Linked DNA regions of Neurospora crassa OR74A. The protein of the gene in region 1 purifies or fractionates together with the protein of each later gene. This does not show direct contact. Links are inferred from orthologs where the notes say so. Each region holds a gene or a part of one and is shown in the gene's direction. Other genes may lie near its edges.

Region 1 (11,966 bases):
GCTGCAGAAAACAGAGATGTCAGCAGGTTGGCCGTCTTCCACAAGATGCGCTGAAGAGGACACCCCAAGCAGCCGGCTAATCCAATCTTACCATGTTGCCAGAATCGATACTCTTTTCATGCGGTTAATAAGTAATAAGAGTGACGGCGCAGCGGTATAGAGATGCCGGGTGTAGTATACGGTGAAGCCCAGTAATCAAGTGTTGGGCCAAGAGGCAGAGCAGCATCTGTCTTGCCTGGTAGTGTTGTCGACGGGAAGTAAGGTAGAGGTAGTCGACAGAGTCGCGACCCGGGCCAAAGTGAGACGCGATTGCGTTGTTGGACACTGCTTAGTACGCTACCGTAGAGCTGGGTGCCATGTAAATTAATAGGTTGTTAGTGTGCTCCATGCGGAGGTGTGCCAGCAGGGTTCACACTCCATCACGGCAGGCACATGGAAGAAGAAGCTCCCATCACCGAAGCTGCCCGCCCGGCGGTGCATGAGATGTGGATGGCAGGGATGGACGTGTACGGTGGCCTGTGCTCTTTCAAGCTGCCTGCCCGCCTGCCCCTGTTTTCCATTGTTGCGATGACGGACAGCCAGACACGCAGGCAGCCCAGGGTGAGCTGGAGAGCTCGAGCTCCTGCCGTAGGGGTAGGTGGGCTGAGCTTCCATGTGCTGGCGGTAGTGTACATGTACTGCTGGCTTTAATGGGCCGGGCCCGAAGCCAGGAGGAGTATCCCCCACCCGCTGCCCGCCGCCCTTGGAAGACAAGCACCAATCCACGAACACCTCAACTCAAAACAGCTGTGAATAGGCTGAACCATCAAGTCGACGATCCCTCTTTTCGGTCAATCAACTCCCCGTTTTTGTCCCGACCTTGGATGACAAACAGGGCGGCTGACTGTTGGCGACACGACAAATTGCGACAACACAGGCAATTGCGCCTCCAGTTTCCCTGCTCTCTGTTCTAACCACTGTAAACCAACCATCAACATCCCGCCGCAGCCTGGCGGTCCATCGCCCTCACCATGGTTGCGCCAGCTGTCCCCGAGTTCGTGATTCCCGTTTAGAGTTACAGTCCACCCTTTGTCTTGGGTCCTTCAACCAAGCGCACCTAGGCCGAAGCTAATGTTGGATTGCACGCAGGATCACCGAAGAGATACTGCATGAAGCGGTTGACACTCGTACCGAGTCTCTGAGCTCTCTCAGGGAGCTTGGCCCCCCCGATCTCGTACACCTGGTCAAGCAGCCCCTGAAGAACCCCGGAAAGCACGTACGTAACCAGTCTCTCCGACTTCATCCATATGCAACACGACAGCCATCGCTGACCTGCGCATCCATCAGTATGGTGTCTATCACCATGTCACCGGCGTCGACGCGTCCTCCTCGGCCAGTCTGGCTGCTTACATCAACACCCTGACCTACAAGGAGTTCGGCAATTCCGCCACTGCCAAAACCGTCGAAGGAACTTATTGGTAATACCACTCTTTGACCGACTGCGTTCTGGGCTATTCCTAACAATCGCTCGTTCCAGCTGTTACAATGCCTTCTCCCGCGTCGACATGCGCGTACACGCTCCCTTCCCCGGCTCCGTAGAGAGTTATTGCGTTGACGAGCGGGGCGAAAAACGAAAGGCAACCGACGAACTCTGGCTCGAAACATACCTCTGCAGTGTTCTCCGCGCATACTCGTATGCCGACGATGGAAGCGGCGAGACAATCAGAAAGATCATGGGCGTCCGGCGTTTCAACCCCGTTTCCAGTACCGAGACCGAACACAAATTCCTCAGCGCTGCCGAGCAGCTCTTCTTCAGGGGTACCACTCCCCAGCTGTTCACCCTGCGTACAAGCGATTTACTGACTCTCCTATAATAGGCTGGCAACTTGGGTCCGACTCCGTGGTGCAGGTGCCAAACAATGTCTCTAACCACTTGACAGCCGGCCTCCTAAAGTATTTCTCCACAACAGGACGCCACACTTCCGGTATCAATCTCTTTGAGAAGCTTCGGTCGCAAAACGTTGAAGTGGCTTCGCTCTTGGCAAAAGTGCTCTTCATGGGAAACGAGGAGGTGCAAGGAGTCCGTGTTTTGTACGAGGCCCTCAAGGAATCGCCCATGGATTACGTTATGCTTGATACCCAGGCCGAATTCCTTCTCAAAAAGGCCGAAACTGCCCCAACGCCAGAGCTGAGGGAGGAAAGACTACGCATGGCTCTGGGCTGTGCAGACCGAAGTACGATAGCCGCTCCTAGTGAGTTCGGCACGTGGGCAAGACTGGCCCAGGTCTATGTTGCAATGGAGGATTGGGAGAATGCCTTGACCATCCTCAACTCGTGTCCCATGTTCACATACCAGGACAAGGATGCGCCTGTCATGCCAGAACCCAAAGACGTTAACCTACCGACCCTCCCAGAGACCAGGTTGGACGAAATCGACAGCGAGCCAGATTCGAGGTTTTCGGAGCAGGTCGACCCAAGTTTGCTTGGTCTTCGCGCCGCTGCGTATCGGGGAACGTTCAAGCAGGCATACAGCATTCTCACCGAGATGACTGCCAAGATTGGCTGGGATCAACTTCTCAAGATCAGAAGCAACGTTTTTGTTATGGAAGACGAGTATCGAAACGAGAAGCAGGAGCCCTCTTACCCTGCCAAGCGCAATGCTAGCACCGATGCGCTGCGTGGAAGCCCGGATCATACTACGAACGGCGAAACCGCTCCCAAGGAGGCTGCCGAAACTGACGAGGTTGAGGACGAAAAGAAGAATGCTACTTTGGCTGCTGAGCAAACGGAAGGCCTGGAGAGACCTCCTAGCGCTATCGACCCAGAGGTAGTCCGCAAGGCCGAAGAAAACGTACGTCTCCAAGCCGATGCTTCCCTTTGGCAGTTTACTATGGACACGATGCTAACACATGATAGGGTGATAACGAGGATCACTTCTCGCGCCTCAACAACAAGCGTCTATGTGAACGGTGGTTAGACAGCTTGTTCATGGTTCTTTACGAAGATCTTCGCGTATATACCATTTGGCGCACCCAGATGGCTCAGTACAGAGCGCAGAGTATGCAGTACAAAAAGTCGGCGGAAGAGTGGGAGATTCTCGGCAGTCTCGCAGAACGCCTACAGCATACGGACGAAGCGGTTGAGGCATACCGGGCGTGCTTGGGTCAACGCTTCAGCCCCAAGGCGCTCACCGGTATTCTCAAGGTGTTTGAGAAGCAAAAGAGCACACGCGAGAGTGTCGCCGCTCTCATCAGGTTGGTAACTTGGCAGTATCGGTGGTACAGCGAATTCTCACCCGAGCTACTACATACCATCCGGACACTCATCGAGGACGAGGGTGCTGTGAAGGTCAGGAGTATCATCCAGGCGACCAACCTGCCACAGAACGTGCTGGACTTGACGCATCACTATGCGGCGTTGTGTGCTACTTTCCGCAGCAGCGGGACCGACGGCTAGGTTGCTGGGGTTTGATATTGGGGTGCTGTTGATGAAGTGATGGCTGAGAGACGACCATGGCCGTTTACATGGTATGGACGTATACATGATGCCTATGCGTATGGAGAGCAGTCGCGGAGTTGTTCGTATGATAGCGAGTTTTATCATTAATAGAGAATTTGAGCGGCCTGATGAGATATGATAAGCATTGAAAGTTCCAGTTGATGCTATCTAGACTCCTAAGTATAGAGTCTTAGGTCTGTGGACTGTCGAGTGGCGGGAAGACCCCGGCTTATAGCGATCCCCGTTTTGACTCCGGGGCGATTCCCAGCCCCGGTCATCGGGCCGGGCTACCCGTCCTTCCCGTCTTAGCTATGACGGGACCTGCGCCAGTTGTCCCCAATCCGCTCCACAGAGCGGCGTCCCCCCACCATTTGGAGTTTGGCCCCCCAGTTTGCGCTCCGACCTTGGAACCTGCAGGAACTTGGAACTTGCATAAAGCTAGGTTGCTCTTCTTTGTTATCCCCGGAGGTGCGGGGCTATGGTACCTTATGGTTGCCATCAACGTCATCACATATGTAGAAGCGTGGGATAGAGAGCCACAATCCGTCAAAGGCAGTTCGTACAGTAATACAAACAGGCACCAGAATGATGGAGAAGATTACATTGGAACGGATAGGAATCGGCTCTCCACCGTTCGTGGGAGGAGAAAGTGGGGGTTGACTAAGAGATGGGGCTCCAAGCCTTATAAATCATGTTGAACTGCCCTTCCAGTCGTCGTTGATTCTCAATCATTCAAACTTTCTGTTGTCTTTCATGTTGCCTGTCTCACGCGCAATTCCCAGAATACCAAACATCACAAACACCGCCAGATATTTCTTCAGTAAAACAAACACCATGGCTCCTCTGTAAGTACCTTTACTTTGGGGATGAAGTGCCAGGAGAAACCCCTAGAAGAAGCTCACCCGAGCTTACAACTGTCAACAGCAGCAAGACTCACAAGCTCAACACGGGCGACGAGATCCCCGCCGTTGGCCTCGGAACCTGGCAGTCCAAGCCTGGTCAGGTCGAGAAGGCCGTCGAGGCCGCCCTACGTGCCGGCTATACTCACATCGACACCGCGTATGCCTACGGCAACGAGAAGGAGGTTGGCCAAGGCATCAAGGCCTCCGGCGTCCCACGCGAGAAGATCTGGCTCACCACCAAGCTGGACAACGACTGGCACAAGCATGTCGCCGAGGCTATCGATACGTCGCTCAAGAACCTGGACACCCCCTACGTTGACCTCTACCTGATGCACTGGCCCGCCAGTCTTGTCAAGGGGAACACCAAGGAGGTGTACAACGACTGGGACTTTGTGGACACCTGGCGCGAGATGCAGAAGCTGGTTGACACCGGCAAGGTCAAGAACATTGGTGTCAGCAACTTTGGCGTCAAGAACCTGGAGAAGCTTTTGAGCGCCGAGAGCACCAAGGTAAGCAAGATTGTGCTCCTCCTCCTCTTCAAGTTTTGTTGTGAATTGATGAGGACCTCACACATATAATTACAGATTGTTCCCGCCGTTAACCAGATCGAACTTCATCCTGGTAACCCGTCCCCCCACCTTGTCGAGTATCTGCGCTCGAAGGGCATTCATGCTTCGGCCTATTCGCCCCTCGGTAGCAGCGACTCGCCGCTTTACAAGCTTAACAGCCTCACCAAGCTCGCCGAGTCCAAGGGCAAGACTGTGCAGCAGGTTCTCCTTAGATGGGGTGTCCAGAAGGGCTGGAGTGTGCTGCCTAAGAGCGTCACTGAGGAGCGTATCAAGGCCAACATTGATCTCGAGGGCTGGAGCTTGACCGATGAGGAGATTGCTCAGATTGATGAGGTTCACAAGGAGAACAGCTTCAAGGTCTGCGGCGATGACTGGTTGCCTGTCAAGATCTTCTTCGGTGCTGGCGACAGCGACTAAGCGTCGTACACCGTGCAGCCAAGAGGATGCTGGCAAGATATTCCCCCCATAGATGAACAATAATGAATAATGACACCAGAAAATGCTCGCTCGAGATTAATGACTGGCTATGCTCCGTGACCACACATCTGTGACATCCGTTCCGACCAACCCCGCTCCCTACAGCTTCGCTTTCTCCCTTAGCCCCCTCTCCCCCTCCTCCTCCTCCTCCCTAACCACCTCCGTGACAAACCCTCTCACCCTCCTCGCCAACTCCTCCCCCTCGTCCTCATCCAAATCCTCCCTTTTCCCCCTCCCAAACATGGTACTCGTAAATCTCTCAGCCTCCCTCAGCCCTGGCCTGGGAATGATATGAAAATGCATATGCTCAACAACCTGCGCCGCGGCCGACCCGTTGTTCTGGACCACGTTCCAGTCTTTGATTCCCGTCGCCCGCGTCACTGCTTCCGAGAGGATCCGTAGGTAACGCCCCAATTCGGCGGCTTCATCGGGAAGAACGTCGGTGAGTTTGGCGGCGTGCCGACGGGGGCAGAGTAAGAGATGGCCTGGGGAGAGGGGCATGATGTCGAGGAAGGCGATCAGGAGGGGGGTGGAGAGGAGGAGGAAGGTTTGTGGTTGTGGGGAGGTGGAGGTGGAGGGGGGGAAGGGAGAAGGGGGGGTGGTAGGGGGGTAGGGGGGGAAGGTCGAGGAGATGTGGCAGAAGGGACAGTTGGGTTGGGTATCGGAGGAGGATGAGGATGAGGTGTTAGTGGCGCCGGCGCCTGTCTTGGAGGCGGGAAGGCTGGGGTCGAAAGTGTTGGCGTCGGGGACGATGGAGCGTGGAACTGGTGTTGCTGGTGGCTTCTTGTCGGTTGAAGAGGCCATGGCTGCAGTCTGGCGTATGACGTAGTGATGTGTTTGAACGATTGTATATGTCGAAGAGCCCCGAGTTAAACTTGAACTGAAGAAATACTCAAGGGAAATCTCGACAAGGGCTAGGAGTGAAGCTGATCTCGCTATGTAATGATGCCGAGAATGATTGTTTGCTGAGTACGCCCCGTAACCAAGGACCAATGCGACAGAATGTCAAACAAATAATCAAGAAGAACGCCTTGCTCCGTGACAAATCCGAAAAGGAAACACCACTAATGACTCTTGTATGATGATTTCTAGCTGATGACTAAATAGTAGCTCAGTGAAGTACGGGACGAGAGGTCCGGGGCGGCATCTGAAAAGACCCCAAAGCCAAACACAAGTGAAGCACCGGGCCCGTTCCCCGTCCCTGTCTTACCTCCGCTTGCCGGCGGGCATCGACCCGGTGGTGTGCAGTGGTGAGGCGCCAGGGCTGCCGCGAACAACCTCGGCCTCCAAACTCCGCCGAAAACGTGGGGGAATTGCCTGCCGCGCTGACAGCTACCCACAGAAGAGTGGAGAATTTATCATGATATGACAGGGGTAACTTGCATTCGCAAAGTCCGAACGCCGCCTGCTTCTGTCACCCTTTGTCAAAGTCTGGAACTTTCTGCCTCAGCGTCCCGCCTTTTTTTACCTTTCGTTGTTCGCGTCCAGTTGAAACTCAGTCGCCTGTATAGGTAGCGCTCCGTCCCTCTCGTCCGTCGCAAACCACTCCACCGGTAAATATTCAACATCATCATCATCATCAACCGAACGACATCATCGTCGCATATCGCTATAAATCGCATAACATCGATTTGTCGTCGCCTCAACACAAAGACAATCTTACACGTTGCATAACCGTCATCCAATTTATCCGAGCAAACCCGACGACAAACAAACCCAAACCACAAATACCACACCACCCTCAACACAACACAAACAACCAAGATGTCTTCCCGCGAGCAATACCAGGTCCCCAACTCCCAGGGCTTCACCACCGGTGCCTCTAACAACGACGGCAACAGCGGTGGCAGCAGCGTCATGTGGTACACTTGCGGCGACTGCGCGGTCCGCGTGCCGCTCGAGAAGGGCGCTCCTATCCGTTGCCAGAAGTGCGGTGCGCGTGTTTTGTATAAGGAGCGCACCAAGAGGTACGTTTTCTTTGGGCTTACCCGGTGGAAGATTCTGAGAAGGTGGGAGAGAAAAATCTTATGCTAACGACGGTCTGGGGGTAATAGAATGGTTCAGTTCGAGGCTCGGTAAATGGTTTCTTATTCGACTTTGTTCGACTTGGGGCCAACAAAGGAGGTGTAGAAAGGGGTCGCTCTTCCTCGATGCCGTATCGGGCTGAAGTTTTCATCGTATTTGGACCGGCCGGGATGTCCTGATGCCCAAGGACGGGAGCCGAGTCAGCCTTGGAGGCAACGGGAACATTTGTCGAGGGGAGCTGGGACCGTAGGAGACTCGAACCGTCGATATCTTGGTGTGATTTTGCACCATTAGCGGTGGCTTAGCATGGCCCAGCCTTGAACCTACGGCTTGTTGTGATCAGAAGAAGGGAGATATCATATTCATCACAATATCATGATGGCGGCGTTCTGGGAAATATCGGTAGACTTGTGGGAATTTATACAAAGAAAGCATTGCTTTTCATCATCGTCATCATCACCTATCACCATCAGATGGATCCGTTCTGTGATGCTTCTCATTATTGATCATGTTTTTTGCCATATAGAATATTGGTATGGTATCACTCTGAAAACGCCGGTTGTATGCTAAATCTCCTTCCCTCTCGATCACTTGTCTTGCCAACACTGCTCCATAAATCCTTTCCTTACCAATGGCCAATCTCATCACCTCTGGCTGTGGAGGTACTTTGCAAAACTTGCGTCGGCCAAAACCGAATCATCCTCGCCCTGCATGGCAGCGGCGTACCTCGCCTGCAATCCCTCGCGGTCATACTCGTCGTTGGGATCGTCACCATATTCCTCGTCGCTGCTCTCCTCGTCCGTGCTCAACGGCTCGGGGGCCTCTTTATCATTGACGTCACCCACTGTGACGTCGCCCGCCGCGTCGCCCATCGACATTCCCTTCATCATTTTGTTGAGTTCCCTCTCCCGCGCCTTCTTCTTGTTCTCCTCCCTTTCTTCGCGCCTCCTCTCGAGCTCAGGCTGGTAATCGCGCTTGAACTCCTCTGCCTTCTCCTGAACCGCGGCAAAGAACTCGTCAATGCCCGTCCCGTACAGCGAACTGACGCCCACCACGTTCAGATGTGCGTAAAACTCCTCCAACATCAGACTCATGCTGTTCAACAGCGAGCCCATGTATCCGCTGCCCGAGCCCATGCCATCGCCGCTGCCCTCCGCTCCGCCAAACGCGTTGTTGGTCTCGTCCTCCTGCAGCGCAGCCTGGAACGCATCATAGTCGGTCATCCACTCCTTTGCAAAAGCCGGGTCCTTAACGTCCGACTTGTTGAAGACCAGAATCATGGGCAGCTTGGTCTTGTAAAGGATACTGCAGGCGTACAGCATGTTGCTCATGAAGGTCGACGTCGAGCTCGTCCGGGGGGTGTCGATGATGTAGGCGATGACGGTGGGGAAGGATGAGGCGAGCGACTCAAGGAGAATCTGGCCCGACGCGGACCAGACGAACACCTCGATCTGGCCCGGCGTGTCGACGAGAATGTGCTTGATGGGCGTGTGCGTCGGGTCGTCGGGCTTGGGCGCCGTGCGCTTCTCGAGCAGGCCGAGAACCTGGTCGACTTTGGTGGCAAAGAGGTTCAGCGATGTGAGAATGCCGCCGTTGGGGCCGAGGTTGTACTGCTTCATCACCTCCTTGTAGTTGACCGAGTCGCGGATGTCAATGTTGCTCTCGAAGGGCGAGTGGGTGACTGCTGGGTCGAGGTTGATGACATAAGGAGGCTCCTTCTTTCCGTGGAGATGGGCATTGATCTGTTGCATAAAGGTTGTCTTGCCGGATCCTGGGGAACATGGTCAGCTGGATGATTCCGCTTGCGGTTGGGAAAAGCACAGAACATGAGCATGCGTAGACCTACCTGCCATGCCAACGCAGACGATGGCAACAGGCTGGTCAGCCTTGGCGGCAGACGATGCCGAAGTCGAAGCCATGGTGCGACAGCTGTGCACGGGTGCGTGGAAGATCGTTTGGTGATCTCTGTGTTATCTGTCGGATAAAATCAAAGTTGTTGCAGATTTCAGTTTGCGCAGAGATGGTGTTGTAATGAGTCTCGGGAAGAAAGTTTCACGGATGTCGTAAGCGGCGGGGTCACTGCTGTAGGGATGGTCATAGGTGGTTGCGACGGAGTGAATGTCCGAGGGCCACAGAGGGGCAACACCGCAAGAGAAAAAAAAAAACAAAAAAAAACCAAAGTCCATTGATCGCCTGGCGTAGCGGGCGGAAAGGTTCCATCCATCAAGGCATGGGTGGGGTGAAGGGTAGGTAAGGCTTGGCATTTTGTTTTCCCCAAAGTGAAATGACTGAAACCTCGACATTGGTCTCTTTTCATCCTCTCACCCATTCATCTTCCAACTACCTACGCCTTCATGTTCCTCGACATCCAATCCATATCTGGCCGGCTCGCATCTCATCCATCATCTTTTTACCAATTTGGAACTAAATCAGTTGGCGACCTATACCCTGTTATCATGCCTATATCAAAAGCCCATATGGCCTGCTTGACAGCTTCTTGTTTTCAGCCGAGCCGCTGTTAATCCGCGAATACCACAGCCCTCAACCGCCGCAGTAGCTAGTCGACACTCGACCTAGTAACTTGGCGGTCCCGCTCTTCAAGTTATACCCCGGTATTATGGGTGCCTGGATATTTTAGGATCTCAACGGCTGGATGGCATAGCACTTGCCGCGGGCAGACAAGCCCCGAAGGCTTCATCGACCTCACAGGCTATTGTTCAATGAAGTCTGTCCACTTGTCCAGTTTCAACTAATCCTTTCACGCCTAGCAATGAAGCCGGATACGGATGCTTTTTGGACAATTCGGGGAGTCGTCGAGTGGCAATTTGATACTGCTGAACGAGACCGGGATAAGCGATGGGAGAAAAGGCGTCTCACGTCATCTTCGGAAAAGGTCAGGAACTATAGGCAGGATGCTGGCGGGGGCGATTCACCAATGCCAATGACCGCTAAACCCATGCTAAGCGTATGGTCGGTGGTCCCGCGCTGGGGAGTGGGCGCAGCCGGTGGCCTCTTATTGCGTCAAAATTCTCTTCAAAATGGTGGGTGATGGGAGCTGGGTTGGTCCAATAAGCCACAAACGTAATGGCAAGATCCGTCTGTTCGGCACTACCAGGAGGCAGCGTGGCCGGGAACCAAGCGGCCATCCACAGGCTGCCCCTCATGATACTCAGCCCTACCAACCTACCTCTACCACGTTCTATCCATTATACTCCAAGCTGACCCCCAAGATCCGTTTGAATTCTCTCCCTCCCACTTCCTCTCTTGTTTCGTCTCTCGTCCCACACCAGGGCCAGATTCATCATCCGACTTGGGCCAAATTCCAGCGACTCATCAAATCCAGGCTTCGGAGATCGGCTACTATACCCTGCCCACACCTCTATAGAGGTGAATAAACTTTCATTTATCGGTGTTACATATCTACCCACAGCATCCAATGTCCACCATGTTGCGCAAGAAGGAAGCCTTCACCGTTATCACGCCCATCCCGGGCTTCATTCCACGACAGTTGGCCATCGACATCCTTCATTCTCATTCTGAAGTCATTACTCTTAACCCTCTTGTCCTCGACCACAAGCCCATCGCGGCCCCCCAGGATGCAGAAACAGACGAGTATTATGCGACATGGTATGAGATCACCGAACGAGTCACGATTCTGCCTGGAATTGGGAGGATGGGGGCTACAACCATCAAGTTCAATGGCTGCTTTCACGACATGCCGTGGGGTCTTCAGACTCACATATACGCCCCCATGAACGTTGACCTTCGCAACACCTATCGCATCGCCGGTAATCAACCAAACTTTGAGCCTCCAGAGCCACTTGAGATGGGGTTATCAGCTCTTGGGGCACCGTCGGATGGGTTATATCTCCGTGAGGATATTGAGATCAAGTGCAGTCGCACTGTCATGAGCTTTGTCAAGTCGCAAATGAAGAAGGCGGGTGGGGAAATGGTGAGACGCATCATCAAGAAGGCTGAGTTACTGGATGCTGGCGTGCTTCAGGCTATGATCGAGGACGGAAAGCTGAAGACGTTCAACCCGGCCGACAAGAGGAATACAGTCCGACGACCGGCGGTGGCTTCTCCGGGCCCTCAGTTTTCGCCCACATTTGCCAGCTCATCGGCCTCTGGTACACCACCTCAGTCTCCCGGTATTCCCTACCAGATCCCGCGACCGCTATCTGCTACTCCCAGTCAACACCGGTCAAGTACTCCTGGATCCTACCACCGTCCTAACAGCTACGGAAAGGCACCAGCTGCTTTCGGCTATGGAACCCCGAATGGACCACAGGAGCTGTCTGTCACCAACCCTGAACCGGTCTCAAATGGTCCGATTGAGATGCCAGGCGACTTCTACCACGCCCCATCAAACCTTCAGCCTCAATCTCTGTCATCCTCCAACCGAAATTCCAGTCAGTCATACTCGTCCGACCGGCCACAAGCAAGCCCGAACCCATCATTACGCAGCGGGTTCCCGTCTCCCGCTTTGGACAAGAATTTTGGACTACAGACTCAC
Region 2 (11,135 bases), on another chromosome or scaffold:
AAAGGAGGGAGAGCATGGTTCAACGACGTTGCACACAAAGACAAGCCCGGCGGGTCCCTGACATATGAGATCAGATACAGCATATATCGAAGCCAGAAACCGTCAGAGACACTACATCCGCCGCAGTACCTTTTCCTAAAGGCAATGTATAAAGCTTGAAAAGTAACCAGTGCTTTATCAAGAGCGCCACGCAATTGCAGCAGTTTCGCATTCCGATGGAAGAGGGGGCACGATATGTGGTTGTTGTTCCACAGATGGCGATGGCCGCACAGGTTGGGACGGAAACGCCAGTACAATGCAGACCCTTTGGGCTCATATAGGTTGTCGGACGTCATCGGTGTTGAGACGTGAAATGACATGGAGGGTTGGGTTTAGCATATCCGGAACCTAGATCCTAAGCTTCCCCATCCGGATATCCCCAGACTCCCGCTTTGCTCGAGGCATTCTCTCTCTCCATCACGAGTCCACAGTGGACGAGACACTTGACACCAAGGCCGCCCAATTCCGGACCGTTCGCAATCTTAATTGAATCTGAAGACAAGCCTTCACCCATGTCGAATGGCTGAAAAAATCGCTGCCCAAGGCCGATACTTCCAACGGCAATGTCCATTGATGTGATGAAGTGATGAACTTTTTGCTGGTCGAATGGGAATTCCATGCCATTGCGCCGCCAATTGATGGTGGGGTCAGCATAGCCTTGCCAGCTGCCGAATGCCAATTGGTTTTCAGCTGCCGGGCCGTCGTGGGCTGCCGAGGCTGCCAAAAGCGAAACGCAGAAGTCTGTAGTCTGCGGCAGGCAAGACCAATGAGCACCGGCACAGTGCCGGACAGACCAGCCAAGGTGGACAAGCTCACGGTGGCACGGCCTCAGCTGGATTGCCTGCCACAAGCCGACTCCAGTGGACTGGACTTTTGAATGGCGATCTCTTTGACCATGCGCCGATACCAATTGGCAGTAGCGCCAGACGCCGCGAACGAACAATTCCCATTGCTACGCTCGTCCCCAGACTCTCAGAATTCTGACTGCAACTGGCACAACGCCGAGAAACAGCGACTCCCTCTCTGGTTCGGACCTGCGCGTCGTCTGCCCCAAACAGCTCCCTCTTGCGTCCACCGTCGTCGCCGACCCATCGATTCTCTCTTTGCCCCGGGCCATTATCCAACAGTCAACAACTGAATAATTGCTTCAGCCCATCTGAAGCGTGGCAGTTCGTCGCCTCCAACCCTCTCAGCATCCGAGTCGCCAGCCAGCGGTCCAGTCGCAGTTGAGCATGCTGTCGCAAAGATCAAGGAGCCAAGACAAGAACACCGCAACGGCAACGGAAGAATAACGGCACCAGCGACCGGCATCCTTTTCCTTCCCTTCCTCTCCAACGAAAGCACCACGAAGCACCACACGCTTTGCTTTAGCCGACTACACAGGTACTCGGCCACATCAACTTGCATCATTCTGCCGCTGAGACGAGACGTCACCTTCTTTTCAGCCCGTCGCTCGCTCCACTCTCACCTTCTCATGACCTTTGCGCCTAATCCTACCGACTCCGCCGACCGTCTCCTTTTCCCTAGGTTGCCTCCTCGATCTGCACCTTCTTAGTTTTTTCCTCGACTGCGACCTTCGTACAGCAAACGTGCGCCAAGTGCCCTCGACACACAGACACACAACCGAACCATTACTCACAGTCCCTTATTCGGGTGCGCGCAGGGCGACCCCAGCTGCTGCTGCATCCACCATGGAGGACGGCCATCACTCACCGGATTCGACCAAGGAATCAAAGTCGGAGGAACACTCCAAGATGAACGGCTCCAAGCTAAAACGGGATGGCGCCAGCAACGCCGGCAATGCGGCCACGCCAAACGGCTCCCAGACCGGAATCTCGAGACCCCCAAGCATGTCGCCCGACGAGCACAAGGCTGCGAGTGAGAGCACAGCAACTCCCAGCGAAAATGTCCCGACACAAAAGCCTTCGCGAAAGGCGTCTCAGAAGAACATGAAGAGGGAACCGGTGCTCTTCAACCATCTCCCCGACGTGAGGGAAGAGGCATGCACACATTTCCAGGTCATTCATGACTGTCTCTATGGCTCAAAGAACATGGGTGCATCCGAGCACGATGCGTTGGATTGTGACTGTGCGGAAGAATGGCGTAAGTGAAAATATCTTCGGCGTCCCCTTGCCGCTAGCGTCATGTCCCCTCCGGCCCGCCCGCCCGCCGACACCCCCCCTTAACCGAATACTGACACCTGGCTCATCGTATAGGCGGTGATATGAACCATGCGTGCGGGGAAGATTCAGACTGTATTAATCGGGCCACGAAAATGGAGTGCGTTGACGGCGATTGCAACTGTGGTAGCGGATGCCAGAACCAGCGCTTTCAGCGAAAACAGTACGCCGACGTATCGGTCATCAAGACGGAAAAGAAGGGGTTCGGCCTCCGGGCAAACACGGATTTGCAAGTTAACGACTTCATTTTCGAGTACATTGGCGAGGTCATCAACGAGCCGACATTTCGCAGCCGCATGGTCAAATACGACAAGGAGGGCATCAAGCACTTCTATTTCATGTCACTAACCAAATCCGAGTTTGTTGATGCCACTAAGAAGGGCAACCTCGGCAGGTTCTGCAACCATTCGTGCGATCCTAATTGCTACGTCGACAAGTGGGTGGTTGGTGACAAGCTGCGCATGGGCATTTTTGCGGGGCGCGCAATCAAGGCTGGTGAGGAACTGGTGTTCAACTACAACGTGGACCGCTATGGCGCCGACCCGCAGCCTTGCTACTGCGGTGAACCAAACTGCACCGGTTTCATTGGCGGCAAAACGCAAACAGAGCGTGCAACCAAACTGCCGCCTGCCACCATCGAGGCGCTTGGTATCGAAGATGGAGACAGCTGGGACACGGCGGTGGCGGCCACCGTCAAGAAGCCCCGCAAGAAGAAGGCTACCGAGGACGATGAAGAGTACATCAACCGCTTCGAGCCTCGTGGCCTCGATGAAGAGGGTGTCACCAAGGTCATGGCCACGCTCATGCAGTGCAAGGAGAAATGGATTGCCGTCAAGCTGCTCGGCCGCCTTCAGAATGCCGACGATGACCATGTCCGGAACCGGGTTGTTAAGATGCACGGATACCAGATTTTGAAGACAACCCTCAACACCTTTAAGGAAGACACCAATGTCGTACTGCAGATTCTCGATATCCTGTACCAACTCCCCCGCATCACCAAGAACAAGATTACCGATTCCAACATCGAAGCCGCCGTCGAGCCCCTCACCCATTCCGACCATGAGGATGTCGCGTCGCAGTCCAAACGATTGCTTCAGGAATGGAGCAAATTGGAGACAGCCTATCGCATCCCGCGCAAGAAGCTCGACCCCTCCGCTCCCGTAACCACAAATTCGTTTGAGGATGACCGCCGCAACGTCAATCATGAGGAGCATCCCTCAAGACCTGTCAATCCGTTCGAGAACATGGTTGTGCCCACGGGTCCCCGCAGCAACATTCCCCAACGGAACATGAACTACTTCAACAACCAGAGACCACGCAAGCTTCCAACGAATCTTCCTGCAGGATGGTTTGTCACCACTGACAGCACAGGCAAATACTACTTTTACGACAAGAGCGGCCATACCCAGTGGCAGCGACCTACAACGCCTGCTGTCGACGTGCCCAAGCCCTCTGCCAAGGTGGAACAAAACCAAAAGGCTCTGCAGGATATCATCGACAGTTTGACCAAGGAGCCGACGCCCCGCCATTCTGCGAACCAAACCCCTAAATCTAACACACCCGTGCCAGACAATGGTAAGAAGGAGAAGTGGAGGTCTCTTCCGGTTGAGAAACAGATGAAGATTTACGAAAACACGGTATGTCCAATCCCGGAAGCCAACTGCCCCTCCTATTGCGGTGACGCTAAACAAAGTACTTTCAGCTCTTTCCTCATGTGAAATACGTCATGGACAAGTTTCACCGAAGACTTCCCAAGGAAGACCTCAAGCGGTTTGGCCGTGAGATCAACAAGAAACTGGTTGCTTCCGACTACAAGAACCACCGTGTCGATGACCCTACGACCATTTCCTCCAACCAGGCAAGGAAGATCAAGAAATTTGTCAAGGACTTCTTTGATCGTGCTGTGGTCAAGCACAGGGAAAACGAGCAGCGCGCTGCACAGAAAGCCGGGCCATCATCTTCCGGCGCCCCATCGCCTACCAACGGCGGTTCAGCCAAGTCACCACTTGGCCGTAACGGCGCCAGCAATGCCACCGTCAAGACCCAGCAGCCCGACGCCGATGGCGATATTGTCCTTACAGACGTGGAGGATGAGGGCGAGAATACTCCTGCCACCTCCAGCTCAGACCGCAAGAGGAAGCGTGCGGAAGAGCAAGAGGTTCCGGCGCCGGCATCCGAAGCGATACCTTCACCGAAGCGAGCCAAGGAGGACTCGACAACCGAAGACTCGATCCCCAGCCCTCCGCCCCCTCCGCCGCCGCCGACAGATACTCCACTCACCGAAGAGGAGCGATCAATGCGCGAGCAAGAGGAGGCCTTAATGAGGGAGAACGAAGAAGCGCAGAGGCTGGAGGACGAGGAGGCCGAGCGCCGGGTGAGTGTTACTGTTCAGGGAGCGGCTGTCGCGACCAGCAAGGTGAACGGAGTAAATGGGACCAAGGCCCACCATACCTCAGAGGCATCACCTGCTGTTTCCGATGAGAATGGGATGGACGCTGGTCGTGATGAGAAGAGTCATGAGCAAATGGCACAACAGGAGCCCGTCAGTCGTTAGCTATCTTTTATAAGTTCTTTTTCTTTCCTTTTTTTTTTTTTTATCTTTCTTCTTTCTTTCTTCTTCCGGGTGTGTGGAAAAGAGTCCAATGGTTGTTGAAAGCAAATCATGGACAGAGAGGCACAGTTCAAGGGAAATGCTTGAATGGCTCTTTCCTTATCGGTTCGTTGCATGAAAAGGTTACCGCCTAACCGCCCTGGAATCATTGTTGGCTGGTTGGCATTAGAAAAGTGGTTGGTTTGGTGGGTACTCGTTTATCCGGTTCATGTTGGTGGGTCGGTTGGTCGGTTGGTCATATATCCAAAATCGGTCGGTACACGGTCCAAAGGGTTGATGGTTTCCTGAGTTATCATTCTCAGCACGTCTAATGTCCGAGGAAAGGTGGACGAACAGACAGACAGGCATGGACTCTTGTTATTGCTTTCCTACGATGTTCCACTTTCATCAGCAACAAGTTTATCTTTATATTCAGGTCTAGATCGATGACGGATTGGGTGATGGATGTGCCGGTGCTGGGGACAATTCGACAGTCATCAACATATAGGCGGTAGGCTACTATAATTGGTGGACGAGGGGTACCAGTATTGCTGGCTGACTTTTCAGTCATGGACACACACGCACCTGCCCCCTTGTATTGCCTTGGAGGAATTTTTTTTATTGGTAGAGAACGCAATACCGCATTTTGACAACGGACGTGGTCGTGATGGTGGTGGCGACACTGCTGGTGGTGGTGGCGGTGGTGGTGGTGGATTGACACACACACACACACACAAATGATAGCAGATACATCCATCCTCGCTACATCCCAAACGGCCGGGCAGCTTCTGGCAGCTGATCGCTGGAGGAGCTGGTGTTGAAAAAAAGTATATCTACAGGAACCATGATACAGGTGGACTTCACAGTGAAGATATCTGCCAATAGCAGACGTGTGGCTACAGTGGACCTGGGTGGCAGATGCCTACTTGGTTGCTTGTTTCAAACTCATACAGAGCTCCCTCTTTGTCTCACCAACTCCTTTCCCTCTCCCTTTTTCTTTTCTTTTCTTTTCTTTTTCGTTGCTCTCTTTCTCTTTCTCTTTTTAAGGCGTTAGGTCTCAAAAACAAAATGGGAATCGGAGATATGGAAAAAGCATTAATCGGCAACGGCGTTTATTATTATTTTTTTATTATTATTTTTTTTATTTTTTTTGGGAAGTACCCGGAGTGAGATGAGAAACAAAGGCGTTCGTTCGCGTTTTTGATCTTGCCTATATATGTACACAGTAGTAGTTCCTTGTGGAAATCTATCGCATGGCATTGTTGTTTTCATCACTTGCGGTTTGGGTTTCTCATGGTATTCATTGTTATTGTTTTGCTCTTCATTAGGGGCAAGCAAGCGAGCCAGCAAGCAAGCAAGCAAAGTGGTAAACAGGCAGCCGGACTGGAACTGGACAGACGGGCGAGTGCAAACTGGTGCGAAAAGGCACATGGCAGAAGATAAGTAGGAAAGAGATAAAAGACATAGTGGGAAACTTGGACTCCGTTTGGCGAACTGGGGGGATATAATAAGCTAGAGAGAGAGGGAGACATCGATACGCTTGCCATTTCGTTGTACTCACGGCGATTGGGGATGTGATGTGGGTTGAACGAGGGAATATACCGCTGTTTGATAACATGGAATCTAGAAAATATTCTCTCATGAGTAGAACGTATTTGACAACAATGTTATTGGGTGGATACGGGAATTTTCGGGGGACAGTCTGATCATAGCGGTGAAGTCTTTTCGCTCGCTCGCTCGCTCGTGCTTGTAAGCATGAGCTCTGCGAAGATCTCGGTGGATCTTCGTCTACTTATTCACGTAAACACAAGTTTCAAACGTACTCGGCTCTTATGCATATCCGACGAGGCAACACGACCAAGTAATGGAACGTGAAAATTGCAGACCGTGAATCAAGAGCGTTTTGACTGGCAGGTTGTTCAACTAATCTGTAATTGGCTATATGTTTCCCAGAGAAGGTAGATGGTGATCATCCAAGAGGTTGCTAATATTGGAATATATCCATGCAAGAAAAAGAAAAGGGTATCTATCAAGCGCCGTCTCCTCAGGTCGTTAAAAAAAGGTATATCCAAGAACCAGAACCAAATTACCAGAGAAAAGTCAAAAGCCGCGACCAAAAACCGGGTCGTTTTTCCGTCAATCTTTATCTTTCCCACTCCTTTGCTGGCTTTCGACGCTGCTGCTGCTGCTGCTGCTGCTGCTGTAGCACCGTAGTGTAGCCTCCTAATCCTATCCCATCCGGTCCAGATCCAGAGTATCATGCCCTTCCTCCCCTCATATGTACCTATATATATACCGTTGATTATCATTAGACAAAAAGCCATTAAGTGTTGTTGTGTTTGGTTCCGTCTCGACGAGCATTACCTGCCTGCCCTCTTCGAAACGATCAGAGCAGCTCCATCATTTCAATTCTCATATCATATCATATCAACCACACCAACCCCGCCACCACCGTCGTCAAAACCGGCACCACCACCACCCCCAGCTTCCTTGACCCCAATGTGACTGCTGCACCACCGCCGCTCGTTGACGACGACACTATCTCCTCGGGCAATGTCTCATTAGCAAACCCCACGCCACAAACCACATTCACCATCTTGGCTGCCTGCACATAAACTCCCGCCACGGGCTGCTTGCGGTCGGCGGCAGCCGCATGATAGACCTGCATCGTCTCCCTCAGACACCCATCGCAGGTCGGCACCGTCGACCCGGGCAAACTGACATTCAGCGCCAGGTGATAGACATAGACGGAGCTAGGGTTGGTAAAGTTCATGACGGCGTTTGCGTAGCAGTATCCTTCGACTACTTCTGAAGAAGAAGAAGAAGAAGAGGAGGAGGAGGAGGTGGTGGTGGTGGTGTCTTTCAGACAGGTAGCCGAGCGAACGGGGGCGTAGGCGATCATGGCGACGTACGCGTCGCGGACGACGGTGTGGCCGGCGCGGAACTCGGCGCCGCAGTTGGCGTCCGAGATCAGGTCGGAGGCGAGCGAGGAGAGGTAGGAGGTGCAGAAGTTGGCGTTGGGAGAGCACGAGGCGTCGAGGACGCGGGTGAGCGAGACGAGGGAGCGTTGGGCTTGGAAGAAGGATTGGGAGCCCTGCGCGAAGGGGAAGGAAGGGATGTTAGTTATTGTATGATATGGATAATAGGAGAAGAGAAGGACAACAACAACAAGAACAACAACAACAACAACAACAAAAGCGGGGAACGTGGTACACACCTGCATCAATAACGAGATGGGGTAGCACTGGTTGAAAGTCTGGTTGTTGAGAAAAGAGTTGAGAAAAGCCGGGCAGTTGCTGTTGGGACCAAAGTTGGCGGATAAACTGCCGTCAAAGAACTTGGGTAGGGAGCTCGATACGGCGGCGGTCTCTTCGGCCCGGGCGGCGGTGAAAGTGGAAGTAGTACCCGTGGGTTTCTCGGTGACGGTAGAGACGGCGATTTGGAAGGTGGTTGTCACGGAGCCGGATGCCACGGAGGTGATTTCCTTTTCCTCACGCTTCCTCAACCCTCCATGCTTCAACTCCGCCTCCTCCGGTGATAGCAAGATCCATTCTCCTTCATCGATGGTTGGTGGTTCTGAGGTGTCGATATCCAACGGTGCATTATTGAAGTCGATGGAGTCGCTCAAGTCATCCTTGATTTCGATAGCCAGCGCCCGCGCTGTTACCTGGCTGACAAGGCAAAGCAGGACGACTAGGGTGACGACAACCCATTGAGTCTTTTGTGAAGAACGGGAGGTAAACGAGTACATGATCATGTCACGGCTGTAACAGAGTGTCGTAGCAGTTGGTGGTACATTACTCTGTGGAACAACACAGATGTCGAGTTGTAGGCTATGTAAAAACGAAGGACTGAAAATTTCCTGATCGGCCGGGTCAGACAGACAGATCGGTGTTAGGGCGCGTATGTCTCGGTATGGTTTAGTCGATCTCCCTTCGTATGTTGATGACCAGGACGGGGGGGTTAAGCGATGAGAGCAGCGAGCGAGCAAGGGAAGCGCAAGTGGGGATGTCTTTCCCGTCTTTATATCACTGCAGCGGTCCAGTTCCTCGTAGGGAGACCGGGGAGTGATGGGTGATAAATGGCGCCGGCCCAACAAGGCGGGATGGGGGTGAGGAGGAGGAGGAGGAGGAGCTAACAATCCAATGTTGGCATCTGTCTGGTCCAGTCCAAAGGCAGCGTCCCGTGGGCTCTACTTAGAAGAAAGGCCCAAGGGCGGGCGGGATCAGGGAAATGGTCCGATATGGGTAGGCGGGTAAATATAAGACGAGGAACAGAACAATGGGACACCAATGGGGACGAAGAACCGGTGCAATGCCGACGGTGGTTGCAGAAGCAGTGCAGAAAAAAAAAAGGGCGTAAGGTCTGCGGGTGTTCTGGCCAGAATGGAAGCTGGGGGCGAGCGGAGTGCGGACACTTGGTTCGCCCGGATGGATGGTTGGCTCGGCTGCGGAGATGAATAATGGTGTTGAGAGCAGGGCAGAGCCATGTACCCTGTCCTGTCTGTTGTTGTCCACCACGTTGAGAGATATTATAGAGGGAGAAGAGAAATGGCTCGAAGGAAAACAACTGAAAGAGGGCTGAGAGGGTTGGAAGAGGAAATTAAACAAAAAAGGCAGTCGGACAAGTGCTAATGTTCCCATTGGGGGTGGCACTACACTAGTGCTGTGCGTAAAAGCTGCTACTGTAAAAGATCTGGGTCAGGGGTAAAGTGGCAGAGAGGCCAGCCCCAATGCTTCTTTGTTGACGGTGGTGTGGTGTTTTTTTTGAGGCGTTGTGGCTGTCTTGTTGTGTCCCTCTGTGCCGTCCTCGAGCTTCGACAACCTTCTCTCTTCACTAGTTCGTTCCAAGACGTTGAATAAGCCGACCATGGTGGATGCTAAGCCCGGTGATGGCCTCGAGGGTGTTTTACTCGAGAACGGACCTCGATGTTGAGACAAGCAGAGTGGGATCTCTGTCTCGTACCTTGGAGATGCATGCGGAGTGGAGCAGGGGTGTGGACGACGAGGATGGTCAACAGGGGTCCCGAAAGAGGCCATCACCAACGAACGGGACGAGAGCTTGGACCGCTGGGCTTGGTTACACCGATGCAAGCAAGTGGGTAGGCGAGAAGCGTGGTGATCAATTATTGAATGGCGCATTTTATGTATAACAAAAGGTACGTACACTACATTATATGTATAGGCTGTACCATGTACGTGTAGGTATACATCGATACAGCGTATATAATGCAGGGGACCTGTCTTGCGCATCTCTGTCGCTGTTGCTGCTGGCTGCGCATTGGCTCGGGTACATGAAGCCGACTTTGTGCATTTTATTGCTTCCATCAGCCTTCCATACCTAGCTCTCATTGGGTGAACTCGGTGGACCAATCAAATTTGCTAAAGAGAGGAAAGAAGTCGTAAACGGTTAATGACAATTATTGATGGTGGTTGATTGTGGTGGTTTGGTGGCGTTTGGGTGGCTCTCTTTCAGCCTCCAGATGAGCGCAAGCGACGGGAGGAACGTACGAAAGAAAAGGTTGGGAACAAGTCCCACAACTTCAGTTGTCATCTCATTGGACGAAGCGATGAAAGCCAAAGACGGACGACGGCCCATTCAGCGTGCGTGCGTGCGTGCGTGGAAGTGGTACCTGGTAGGGTTCAGCATCGCATCAACTGGATGATGAACCCGATTTAGATCAGACGCAGGTACAAGCCATCGATGTTCAGTTGACTTCCAGATCGGTGGTTGAGGGGGGCCAAAGATGGAAGAAAAGGCCACCACCTCACTGGCGACCGCAAACCCCAAAGCAGGTACGAGGTGGCACATAAGCGAGATTTGGCTTTTCATCAGCACCTGCTGCCAAGCGAGTGCGTCCGTGCGTGTAAACAAATCGATTTTGTAAGCGAATCCGTCTCCCATCACTGTCGTCGAAGCAATCAATCATCAACACACTTGCTTCGTTGGCCTCGGACTTTTCCCAATTGCACCCCGGCGGATGCCCACAGCGAATAAATACAGTCTTCCATCCGAGGGGGAAATTCTCTCCCAAGTGGAAGCTTCCCATCAGTCCTTCTAGCTCCGTCTGCTGTGTACCTCACACCTTGCCACGTTCGGGTGTTTTCAAGTTCGAGTCCTGTGCTTGCACGACATTATTGGTGCGACAGGACATCTGTCTGATTTTTTTTTTTTTTTTTTTTTTTTTTTTTTTTTTTTTTTTTTGACAAGCCACGGCTTCCTTGTTCTTCCCTTCTTAACATTCCGACTTTGACAGTCGTCTGAAAACGATCCTTCGCACAACAGAGAAACAAAAGACGGAAAAAAGTCTAGACCACCCTCAGCCT

What was found.
Region 2: the proteins of NCU04508 (region 1) and set-2 purify together in Saccharomyces cerevisiae (affinity purification with mass spectrometry; 3 studies listed by BioGRID). This does not show direct contact. The link is inferred for Neurospora crassa OR74A from reciprocal best matches to the Saccharomyces cerevisiae genes RPC10 and SET2.

Annotation. Positions count from the first base shown.
Region 1 is NC_026504.1:3,135,257-3,147,222, forward strand, and holds NCU04508 (hypothetical protein), read left to right. Parts: upstream 1-6,858; 5' UTR 6,859-7,189; coding exon 7,190-7,392; intron 7,393-7,479; coding exon 7,480-7,504; 3' UTR 7,505-7,948; downstream 7,949-11,966. Other genes in the region: NCU04512 (hypothetical protein), read right to left, coding at 1-1, 92-94; NCU04511 (bud site selection protein 7), read left to right, coding at 1,011-1,033, 1,129-1,255, 1,327-1,457, 1,517-1,797, 1,857-2,830, 2,896-3,435; gcy-3 (aldose reductase), read left to right, coding at 4,231-4,322, 4,402-4,888, 4,964-5,365; NCU04509 (HIT domain-containing protein), read right to left, coding at 5,525-6,229; NCU04507 (ATP binding protein), read right to left, coding at 8,095-9,221, 9,297-9,369; NCU04506 (hypothetical protein), read left to right, coding at 10,887-11,966. UniProt on the Saccharomyces cerevisiae protein: DNA-dependent RNA polymerases catalyze the transcription of DNA into RNA using the four ribonucleoside triphosphates as substrates.
Region 2 is NC_026503.1:3,235,469-3,246,603, forward strand, and holds set-2 (histone-lysine N-methyltransferase), read left to right. Parts: upstream 1-1,004; 5' UTR 1,005-1,730; coding exon 1,731-2,142; intron 2,143-2,255; coding exon 2,256-3,856; intron 3,857-3,921; coding exon 3,922-4,773; 3' UTR 4,774-5,516; downstream 5,517-11,135. Other genes in the region: NCU00270 (hypothetical protein), read right to left, coding at 7,232-7,903, 8,027-8,566; NCU00271 (hypothetical protein), read left to right, coding at 9,701-9,910, 9,994-10,003, 10,292-10,488. UniProt on the Saccharomyces cerevisiae protein: Histone methyltransferase that trimethylates histone H3 'Lys-36' forming H3K36me3. Involved in transcription elongation as well as in transcription repression.